Linked DNA regions of Caenorhabditis elegans. The protein of the gene in region 2 interacts with the protein of the main gene of each other region in a pairwise test. Each region holds a gene or a part of one and is shown on either strand. Other genes may lie near its edges. The genes, in order: bckd-1A and clec-110.

What was found.
Region 1: the proteins of clec-110 (region 2) and bckd-1A interact in a two-hybrid assay, tested with the Caenorhabditis elegans proteins (one large-scale study listed by BioGRID).

What each region holds. Positions count from the first base shown.
Region 1 is NC_003281.10:12,967,579-12,974,090, forward strand, and holds bckd-1A (2-oxoisovalerate dehydrogenase subunit alpha), read right to left. Parts: upstream 4,820-6,512; coding exon 4,817-4,819; intron 4,243-4,816; coding exon 4,120-4,242; intron 4,050-4,119; coding exon 3,662-4,049; intron 2,361-3,661; coding exon 2,030-2,360; intron 1,098-2,029; coding exon 644-1,097; downstream 1-643. UniProt on the Caenorhabditis elegans protein: The branched-chain alpha-keto dehydrogenase complex catalyzes the overall conversion of alpha-keto acids to acyl-CoA and CO(2).
Region 2 is NC_003279.8:13,202,643-13,206,127, reverse strand, and holds clec-110 (C-type lectin domain-containing protein), read right to left. Parts: upstream 1,632-3,485; coding exon 1,381-1,631; intron 1,315-1,380; coding exon 1,160-1,314; intron 1,099-1,159; coding exon 966-1,098; intron 921-965; coding exon 725-920; downstream 1-724. Other genes in the region: ZK1225.1 (Core-2/I-branching beta-1,6-N-acetylglucosaminyltransferase family protein), read right to left, coding at 196-319, 454-464; F17B5.6 (L-Fucosyltransferase), read right to left, coding at 1,903-1,977, 2,023-2,114, 2,161-2,328, 2,386-2,489, 2,538-2,647, 2,699-2,812, 3,092-3,252, 3,419-3,485.

The DNA.
Region 1 (6,512 bases), on a different chromosome or scaffold from region 2:
ATCGATTTTTATCCAAAAAACTACGAAAAATTAATGAAAATTCCGCAAATACACAAGTTTGAAACTACAGTACTCTTTAAAGGCGCACACCTGTTTGCACAAAACTAAAATTGTCGTGTCGAGACCAAAATCCTAAAATTTTCGTTTGAAAAAAAAAAGAACATAGAACATTAAAAATTTTCGGTCAAAACCGACAAGAGAAGATTGCAAAGAAAAGATATAGAGAAATCGTGAGAGAATTAGAGAAAAATACAAAAAAAAGATAAAGAAAATTGATAAAAAAAAGAAGAAATTTGTGCTGTCGTATTGATACGAACAATTGGTTGTTCAGTGGCAATAAATTGCAAAAATTAAAATTTTTCGAGCATTCGGTCTATTTTATTTGTTATACGCCCTATTCAGGACACAAAAATCGATAAAACAGTGTGGGGTATCCTCTCCATATTGAAAGGTGGGAAGGGGCTGACAAAAGAAATATGCGGGGAACACGGGAAAAGGCACCTAGAAACAAAACATGAGGGTTCATAAATAAAAGCAAAATCTATTTGATAAAACACATCGGAATGGCACAGGAAAATCTACAAAAAAAAAACGTATTCTAGTAATATTTTCATAGAAAAAAAAAGCATCACAAAAAATGAATTTAAGGCTTCGATTGAAGAGTCTCCAACATCGGATAATGCTCCTTGTACTCCGCAACATGAGCATCCAGCTCATCTCTCTGACGGCGAAGTCTGAGTGGAAGCTCATCATAAACATCCTCGAACAAATCATGATAATGCGCCTTCTTCCGCTTCTCAGCTGCGGCGAACTCGGTGAGCACACGCTTCTTCACCTCTTTCTGCCATTCCATCTCCTTCTCCTCATTCCACCATCCACGTTCCGTGATGTACTTCTTGAAGCGAGTGATCGGATGATCCTTGTCTCCCCATGTTTGAACTTCATCGGAAGATCGGTAGGCGGTCGAGTCGTCGGATGTTGAATGATGGCCGAGGCGGTAGGTCATGGCCTCGATGAGCACTGGGCGGTTGGTGAGGGCGACTCGGCGGGCTTCTTTTGTCGCGTTGTAGACGGCGAGAAGGTCGTTTCCATCGACTCTGGAAAAAATTTTGAAATTTTTTGTTATTTTTTAAATTTCCAATTTTATATTTCAAAAATAGCTCATTTTTCCTCTTTTTAGAAGATAATATTAGATTATATAGATAGAATATTCGCAAGTGCCGCACAGAAAAATGGGCGGGGCGTAATTTTGCAACCCTGCGGCACGGTTTTTCCTTTATTTTTGATGATTTTTAAAAAATATATTTAGGTATGCAAACAGATACTGAACAATCGATCCGTGATTTATTTCTTGCAAAAGAAAAAAGCTGCGTCGCACAGAAAAATGGGCGGGGCGTAGTTTTGCAAGTCTGCGGCGCGCCTTAAGATTCGATTTTTTTTTCAATTTTTGGCAAAATTAGTCAATTTTCTGAAAATCTACAATTTTCTCTTCTTTTTCGTAATTTTGTTCCACTTTTTCCCGCGATTTTCTCGTAAAATAAACGGCACGCCGCAGGTTTGCAAAACCTAAGCTCCGCCTCTTTTTCTGTGCGACCACAGAGTTCTGAAAATGCGTATTTCACAACATATTTGACGTGATAACATATGTTGTGCAATACGCATTTTCAGAATTCTGTGATCGCACAGAAAAAGGAGCGGAGCCTCGTTTTCGCAAACCTGCGGCGCACTTTTTTAGGCTGAAATTCTTATTTTGGTGATTTTTTACCGATTAATTGTGGGTTTTTTCTTTAATTTTCGTATATTTTTTTTATATTTTCGAATTTTTGCCAATTTCACGAGAAAATCGCGAAAAAATGGAGGAAAAAAAGGGAAAAACAAGAGAAAATTGTAAAATTTCAGAAATTACAATTTTTTTTGTCAAAAAATGATTCAAAATCAAGCAAAATCAAGCCAAAAACTGCAAATTCTTGCGCTCCGCCTCTTTTTCCGTGCGGTGGCACTGCTTTTCAACGAATCCAGTTCTCTCTACCTAATAGTATGAAGACCATAAGCCGGTCCCTTTCCAGCAATTCCATCTCCTCCATACTGTTCACTAGTCGGCGTAGAAATGGCGTATCCGTTGTTTCTACAGAAGAAAATAATCGGGCATTTGAGAGTGGCGGCGAAGTTGAACGCTGCGTGAGCATCTCCTTCAGAAGCGGCTCCATCTCCGAAATAGACGACTGCGATGCGATTATTATCCTTTTGTTGCTTGAAAGCGTACGCTGAGCCGACGGCTTGTGGAAGTTGAGTGGTCAGTGGAGATGAGATTGTGACAAAGTTTCGCTCTTTTGTTCCGAAATGCATTGGCATTTGGCGGCCTGAAAATGGAATTTTTGGTTTTTGAAAAAATCTTGGAATTCGAAGACCAGCGGCTGCTGGAGCTTTTGTTCAAAAATTTTCAAATTTTTTTTTCGGATTTTTAAAAAATTCCACTCAATTTTTCCTTAAAAATCGATTTTTCTTCGAGTTTTTCATCAGATTTTTCCTTTTTTTTTAAATTTTTTCGTGATTTTTTTTGTAAAAAAGACAAAAAAAAACGACGCCGCACAGAAAAAGAGGCGGGGCGTAATTTTGCAACCCTGCGGCACGATTTTTCGAGACCCGAAGAACTCGGGGGATGTCCAATTGGGGGGATTACCAACTCGGGGGATTGGCCCCGCCCACAGAACCGTGGCTTGCAATACGCCCATTTCTGCAACTGCCGCACGGTTTTAAAAATATTTTTTCTTGTTATTTCTCGCTCTATTAATAAAAATACAGTTTTAAAACCGTGCGGCAGTTGCAGAAATGGGTGTATTGCAAGCCACGGTTCTGTGGGCGGGGCCAATCCCCCGAGTTGGTAATCCCCCCAATTGGACATCCCCCGAGTTCTTCGGGTCTCGATTTTTCCTGGCTTTTTGATGATTTTTTTTCAAATTTTTTGGATAAATCGATTCGTGATTTTTTTGCAAAAAAAGCGCCGCCGCACAAAAAAAGAGGCGTGGCGTAATTTTGCAACCCTGCGGCACGGTTTTTCCTCCTTTTTCAATGGTTTTTTTCAAAATTTTTTTGAGAAATCGATTCGTGATTTTTTTTTGAAAAAAAATAGCGCGGCACAGAAAAAGGGGTGGAGCGTAATTTTTCAACCCTGCGGCACGGTTTTCCTCTTTTTTTGATGATTTTTTTCAAAATTTTTTAGATAAATCGATTCGTGATTTTTTTTTTGCAAAAAAAAGCGCCGCCGCACAGAAAAAGATGCGGAGCGTAATTTTGCAACCCTGCGGCACGGTTTTTCCTCCTTTTTCAATGATTTTTTCCAAAAATTCACAATTTTTCTTATTTTCTTTTTTTAAGTAAAAATGTTACCTAATTCGCACAATCTTATGAGTAGTAAATTGAATAATATTTTCAAGAAATATTGTAAATTTTCGGAGAAAAAAGGAAAAATCAACAAAAAAGAGGAAAAACCGTGCCACGTCGTTGCAAAATTACGCCCCACCTCTTTTTCTGTGCGGCACAGTTTTTTTTTGCAAAATTCGGGAATCGAAGTGAAGAAAAATTGAAAAAAAAACGGAAAAATAGGTTGACTTTCTCCAGAAATATCGATTTTTTAAAAGCAAAATCAAGGTTTTTCTCGGACCTTTTCCCAAGTCATCCGCATTTCCATAGCACTGATTCATGAAATTCTCCATAGTATATCCTCTCCACAGCAGGACCCCGGCTTCACGATATTGTCCATAAATCAGATCCTGTGGCTCGAGAGCGGCGGCACTTCCGACATGATTTCCTTCTTCTCCGAAGCTTGTCATATAAAACGAGATGCGTCCTTGACGCTGCGAATCATACAGGATCCGATCCATAATATTCAGCTGTGTCATCGTTTTGTACATTTTCAGCGAAGTTTGCTCGTCGAAATTTGGGTCCTGCGACTTGTCGATGACGTCACCGACGGCGTTGGTGACTCTGTAGATTGGCAGTGCTGGCGTGTCGTCGGCGTTCACGATTTCTAGTTTTTCAGTGAAAGCGGCCTGAAAAAAGTGAAGTTTAGTATTTTAAATGGGGAAAAAATAGAAAAATAATAAATTAAGAATAAATTACTTTTCTATGGCCCAAATACTTTGAGCTGTACTCGCTGAGCCGGAAAGCGTCTCCTTCAACGGTAGAAGCCATGCTTCTGACGGTTGCCACCCGTCTCGAGGCGTTGAGAAGTGCTCTGTGCATCTGAAGGGAATAAGGAATTAAAATTTTTGAATTAAAAATATTTTTTTGAATTTTTTCAACAAAAAAGATACAATAAAACGTGGCAAATAGTCTATTGAATTTGCCACAAAAAAAATGCAAAAAAATGCAAAAAACCTGTGGAAAAATCACCAGCCACAGAAAAAAGTCCGCAAAATGTCGTCAAATGTGGTGTATTGACGACACTTTGTGTCACTTTTCATGTGTTTCAATCACTTTCAGTGATAAGAGCTGAGAGATATTTGGCGGAAAATCGATAAAAATCAAACAACTAACAATCGGCAGAGTTTGCAACAAAAATCTGAGCCGGTTCTCTTATTCTCTTGAAAAATCTACAGTAACCTAGCAGAAGTTTAGAGGCCTAGGTTTTTTCTTTCGAAAGCTTTCTAATAAATTCATTGACTTTACAATGAAATTGATAAAAAATAAATCGTTATTTCATCGAAAAAACTCTAAAAATCCACAGTACTCCTTAAAGGCGCATACCCGTTTTTATTTCACAAGAACTTGTCGCGGTGAGACCTTTTTGCTCAAAAATCTTTTTAAAAAAACGAACCATTTGATGATTTCCCCAGGGAAAACGCGTGTTTCTTCGGCGAAAGACAGAACAAGAAATTGGATTTTCTAATCTTTTTCCAGAAAACAGGGCGACACGGGAAACTGAATTTAAAAAAATTTAAATTATTGATTTTCTTTAGATTAGAGAAAAAATTAATCATTTCTCGATTTCTATTCATTTCGAACGAAAACAGCAATTTATTATCGGTAAGAACTTTTGAATTTCGACTGAAAATGTGATTTTTTCATTGAAATTCTGCAGATTATAAAACAAAAATATTGCAATTTGTAAGGATTCCCACCCTTTTCACTTCACATTTTACATAAATAAATACTAATTTATTTGCCTTTAAATTCTCTCTGATAATTTACAGAAAGAACGGACGAAATCGGTCGAGGACAACGATTTCTACAGCGAAGGCAATCCGCGAGGAGGAGAAACTCCAGTTCAAACCGCCGCCAAGCTACAGAAGGTCGCCTTGTCGCGCCGAGACCCGTCGTCGTTAAAGGCTGCGCCTTTAACCCGGAATGCCTATATAAGGAGAGGACGACGCTCATTTGTGATCATTTATTAACTCTTTAACCCGTTACTTGTCGTTTTCCCTTTTCTCTCGTTTACTCTGTTTCGACGATGCAATTCGTCTGTTCCCTTTTACTTAATAAACCCTTATAAGATCGATCAGTGTGCGTGAGTGGCAGTTACATCCTATACCTTTATTAATTATGAGCGAAGAAGATGATCACGACGTGGAGACTGCACTGATGGTGAACCTGTAATTACAGGAAGACGGGGACGATTCGAAACATTTTTCTATGGAATTGATGTCTGTTGTTCGTGGATTCCGGTTGGTTGGGACCAGGGCTGGGACTTTTTCGTTTTCGCGTTTTCGTTTTTTCGTTGTTTTCGGGGTTTTGACGAAAACGAATTTTTTCGTTTTCGTTTTCGAAAATGTTCGAAAAACGAAAATAAAACGACTTTATTTAATTCTGGTATTTTTTCCACTTTCTTTCGAAGTTTCGCCGAAATTTTGAAAAATCAATTATTTTCTGCTAAGACTCAGAACTGAAGATAAACTTTAAAAACAAAAAAAGCAACAGTTTTCAGTTTTGGAAAACAATTAAAATACTCTTTTGCGTAACAATAGATTCATTCATTTTAAGACAGGAAGTTTCTTTGTTCTGAGCTCCAATGTTGGGCTATCTTATTGAATGCACCGAATTTGGCTAAAAATTCATTCAAGCAACAAGTAAAACATATTTCCACAGTATCTAATAAATTTTTGATGATTTTTGCTTCAAAAAATGCAAAGTAAACTCAAAATCAGAAATACCACAAAAGAAAAGCGTGAAAAATCCCCGTGATTTTTCAATTTTGGCGTGATAGACCAATCAGCGATTCGCTCCGCCCATTTTTGAACCAATCAGATGGCAGCTCTAATTTTGGAGGGAATTCAAACAAAAATCGCAATTTTTTATTTTTTTTTTGTGGTTTTTTTCTGAATTTCAGACTTTCCATTTTTCAGACCGCATACTTCATCTTCATGATCCTCATCCACTGTTTTCTCAACTTTTTTTCTTTGAAGAATTTCTGGAATGATGAAAAAATATATTTTAAAATGTGACTGTTTCGGATTTCATTCATTTTATTTACTTTGTGTCAATTCTTCTCGCTTTTATGTCAGTTGGGTTTCAAA
Region 2 (3,485 bases):
TTTTCAAGGATTGCGATGAACAAGGTTCTCGTATTCCCTCCGCTCTCCGTCACCTTAGTAGGTTATCTTCCACTTGCATCTTGTTTTCAAACGGTGTATGAACTAAAGAAAGTGTCTTCGTCTGGTACTTAAGAAAAAATGGAACGAGTAGAACTAATAACGAAAGATTCTCTACAGAAATGTATGCCAACTCACATTAAAATCTTCCACTTGAAACTGCGACTTTGTGTACAGAAACTCGAATTCTGTAAACTCGAAAACAATCCACAGCGTCAAAATCGCAAAAGTCAGGAGCAACGGAAGTTTTTTCGAAGTGGTCCTGAATTTGTTAAAGTTATTTTTGCAAAAAAAAAAGAAGTGGTCTAAAAGAAGACAAAAATCAAAATTTATCAAAACGTTACAAGCTTACATACGATTCATGCACAACTAAATATTTTCCAAATAAAAACTAACCTTCCAATCATTTTTAAATTGAAAATCGATAATAAATATGGTCCGAAGAATTTCAAGAAACGCACGCACTATCGAATTTTCCGCGTAGATAGCAGATCTAAAAAGAGGTACGCGGAAAACGGAATCGGGCAGTGTCTTGCTTGATCGCAATACAATGAGTTCACTGGAAATGAAAATCAATGTGCCGAACAGTTGGGCCGGGCAAGTTACTCCAGGAAAGAAAAAACACACTCGTAAGAAAACACTTCATTAATATTTCATATGTCACAATTTATCCACGTGATCTTCGACTGACCCCGACTTTTCCACAAGCGTACATTTTTGTCTGGGGCAGTCCTGGAGCGTCTAGGCATCCATATCTATCAAGATCTCCATTGGTGAAAGCAGCTCTCCATTCCTCGAGGTCTCCTCGAAGTCCGACCCAGTTAGGGGTCATGATGAATTGTTGAAGACAGATTGTAGGTCCTCTGAAAATAGTAATTGATGGTCTTTAAAATAATATTAGATCCGACCCATAGTTACGATTATCGGGTTGTCCAACTCCCCATTTGCTGAAGCCTGCAGTTCCATTCGTGTGACCATCGGTCCATGTAAATGTGTTATAAGGTCCACAGCTTTGGTATCTGCATGCTGGTACATTTGTCGCTCCAAGCCACATAGATGAACATAATTATACTGAAATTGCAAAACTGAGATATAGGCTTACCGGCAATGGTAGATTGTCCGGCAGCTACGAGTTTTTTCAGTGCTTCATTTGCAGTGGTCACTCGCTCATTATCATTTTGATATCCTGTCAACGTGGCACCCATTGTTTGGCAGAGGGTTTCAGCAGTCGGTTGAGTAAGCATAGCATTTGTGATCCTCGGATAGGCAATCTAACAAGGAATTGAATTCTTGTTAAATCCAGAATCACTTATAAAAATACACCAGATTTCGTGATCCCTCTCGAATCTCAACCATCCATCGTCACATTCACCTCTCGGAGTTGTTGGTCTTGAGGGTCTTGGAGGCCTCGGCCGATGCGGGGGTCTATGTCTATGTTCTTCGGAAGATGAAGATAAAGAAGAATCAGAGAAATCAAGCCGTCTTCTTCCACCTCCTTTACCACCATCAAATTCGATAGCGATGGTTATAGTTGCAAAAAGCAAAAGAAACACGACTGGCGTCGCAAGATGCATCTTTGATACGGAACTCTGCTGGTTGTCTCATAAAACTTTGTATTTTATACTGATGCTGGTTTTTATCGCTTGGAAAAAGGTGATCGGGACAGAGAGAAACGTGGTATTACCGTACACTGTACATTTTTTGTAGTAGTATTATACATCTGCATACGACATAAAACATTCAGAGTGTTCCTGATCAGTTTTTAAGTAGCAATGAATTTTTAAAAAAACTATTTTATTAATATAAGGTGTAAAACCAACAAACAACTATCACTAATATGTTAGCTTAAAGCATATCAGAAATCCGCAGTTTTGTCCAAGTTTCTGGAAAGAAATCCTCTTCGACCATTTGGTACTTCACCTGAACAAAAAAACTTTATATTTTAGGAATACGCCCAATAAATACCTCATCAGTGGTTTCTCGAATATCTCGATAATACACTGCTGATTGATTTTTTGACAGATATCCGATCCACCAGCCAAACGTGGAAGAGGGGGCTGAAAATAATTTGATTTCTCATTCTCTCAATACCTTTACACCTACCAGTTATCAGAACAGAATCACAGTAAACCTGCGAAAAATAGAGATCATCAATGGCTCGATTGTTGGGAGTTCTTAGCACTTTCATATCATTTCGAAAAGCGACATGGTTCACAATATGCTCTCCCACCCAGTCTGGATCGTTGCTGATCATGTAAATAGTTCCACTGTCTAAAAATGGGAGTTTTATAACTGCAGCCAGACTGTTCCGGTAAAATTTTTACTAACATTTAGTGAACAAATACTCGATTGCCTTGATAGTAAATGTTTCGTCTGTCCCAGTGTGCTGCGAGTCTGCGACAAAGTCTCCACGACGAACGTGCACGCAGGTACTAAACATTAAAGATTTTAAGTTTTGTTGAATATAAATTAGGTGGTACCCATGACGACCTTCCTCCTGATTCTTCATTGAAATTCTGGCTAGTTCTTCCGGGGTTGGCTTCAACAACTGCCTGATGGTAGATTCGATGGGTGCAAAATATTTGTAACTCTGAACATATCTAGCTAATATCATAGTTTACCTAGCGGTCGTAGTTCTCACCTGGAAATGCATCCCATCAATGACCAGGAACTTGCTCTGATCGCAAGTGAGCAGGCCCGTGTATTGGTAGTAACAGCAGGCGACTGGTGCGACGAATCGAGCGGACTTTGAGATCTAAAACAGTGAAGGATGTTTGATTGTCTTATATCTTCACATAGAGTCTATAGCAGGTAAGTATGCCGTGCCAACCAAAGCTGGGACCTATTTTGTTATTTTGAAAAACAATTGATTTTTTTTTGGTTTTTTGGAACAAAAAGAACCTAAAATTTTCACTTTTTCACCGGTTCTTTGTTTTTTGGTTCAAATTTATTTTTTGGTACCAGACCTGGTGTCAACCTCAATTATTACACATTAGGTTTTTAAGGTGCATTTTTTAAGGCCCGTAAGGCATACCTCAATAGGCATCGAGGCCACCTTCTCGGCTACACGTGGAACTGTTTCTCGGAAGAAACTGAGCTTTTCGTTGAGCATTGTGTCGTCTTTGTTGAATATCGCAGTTCTGTTTAACACCTCTGCCATTCCAAGTAAGGAAACTACTTCGAATAGTTGGTTTCCTGAAATTTTTGTATATTTCTATATTACAAAAAATATACGTTATCATGACTGTTGGAGCTTTTAATTATTCCGACTTTATTTTCAAAACTTTTGGGTACTTTTAGTATGGCCTTACAGCAGTTAAGGAAAGATTTAAACTGGTTTGCATATATCTAAATAAATTACCAAGGCCTGAATCCGTTATTGTCGTTAGCATGGGAATAACCAAGTATTTTTGTTCGTCGTTCCTTTT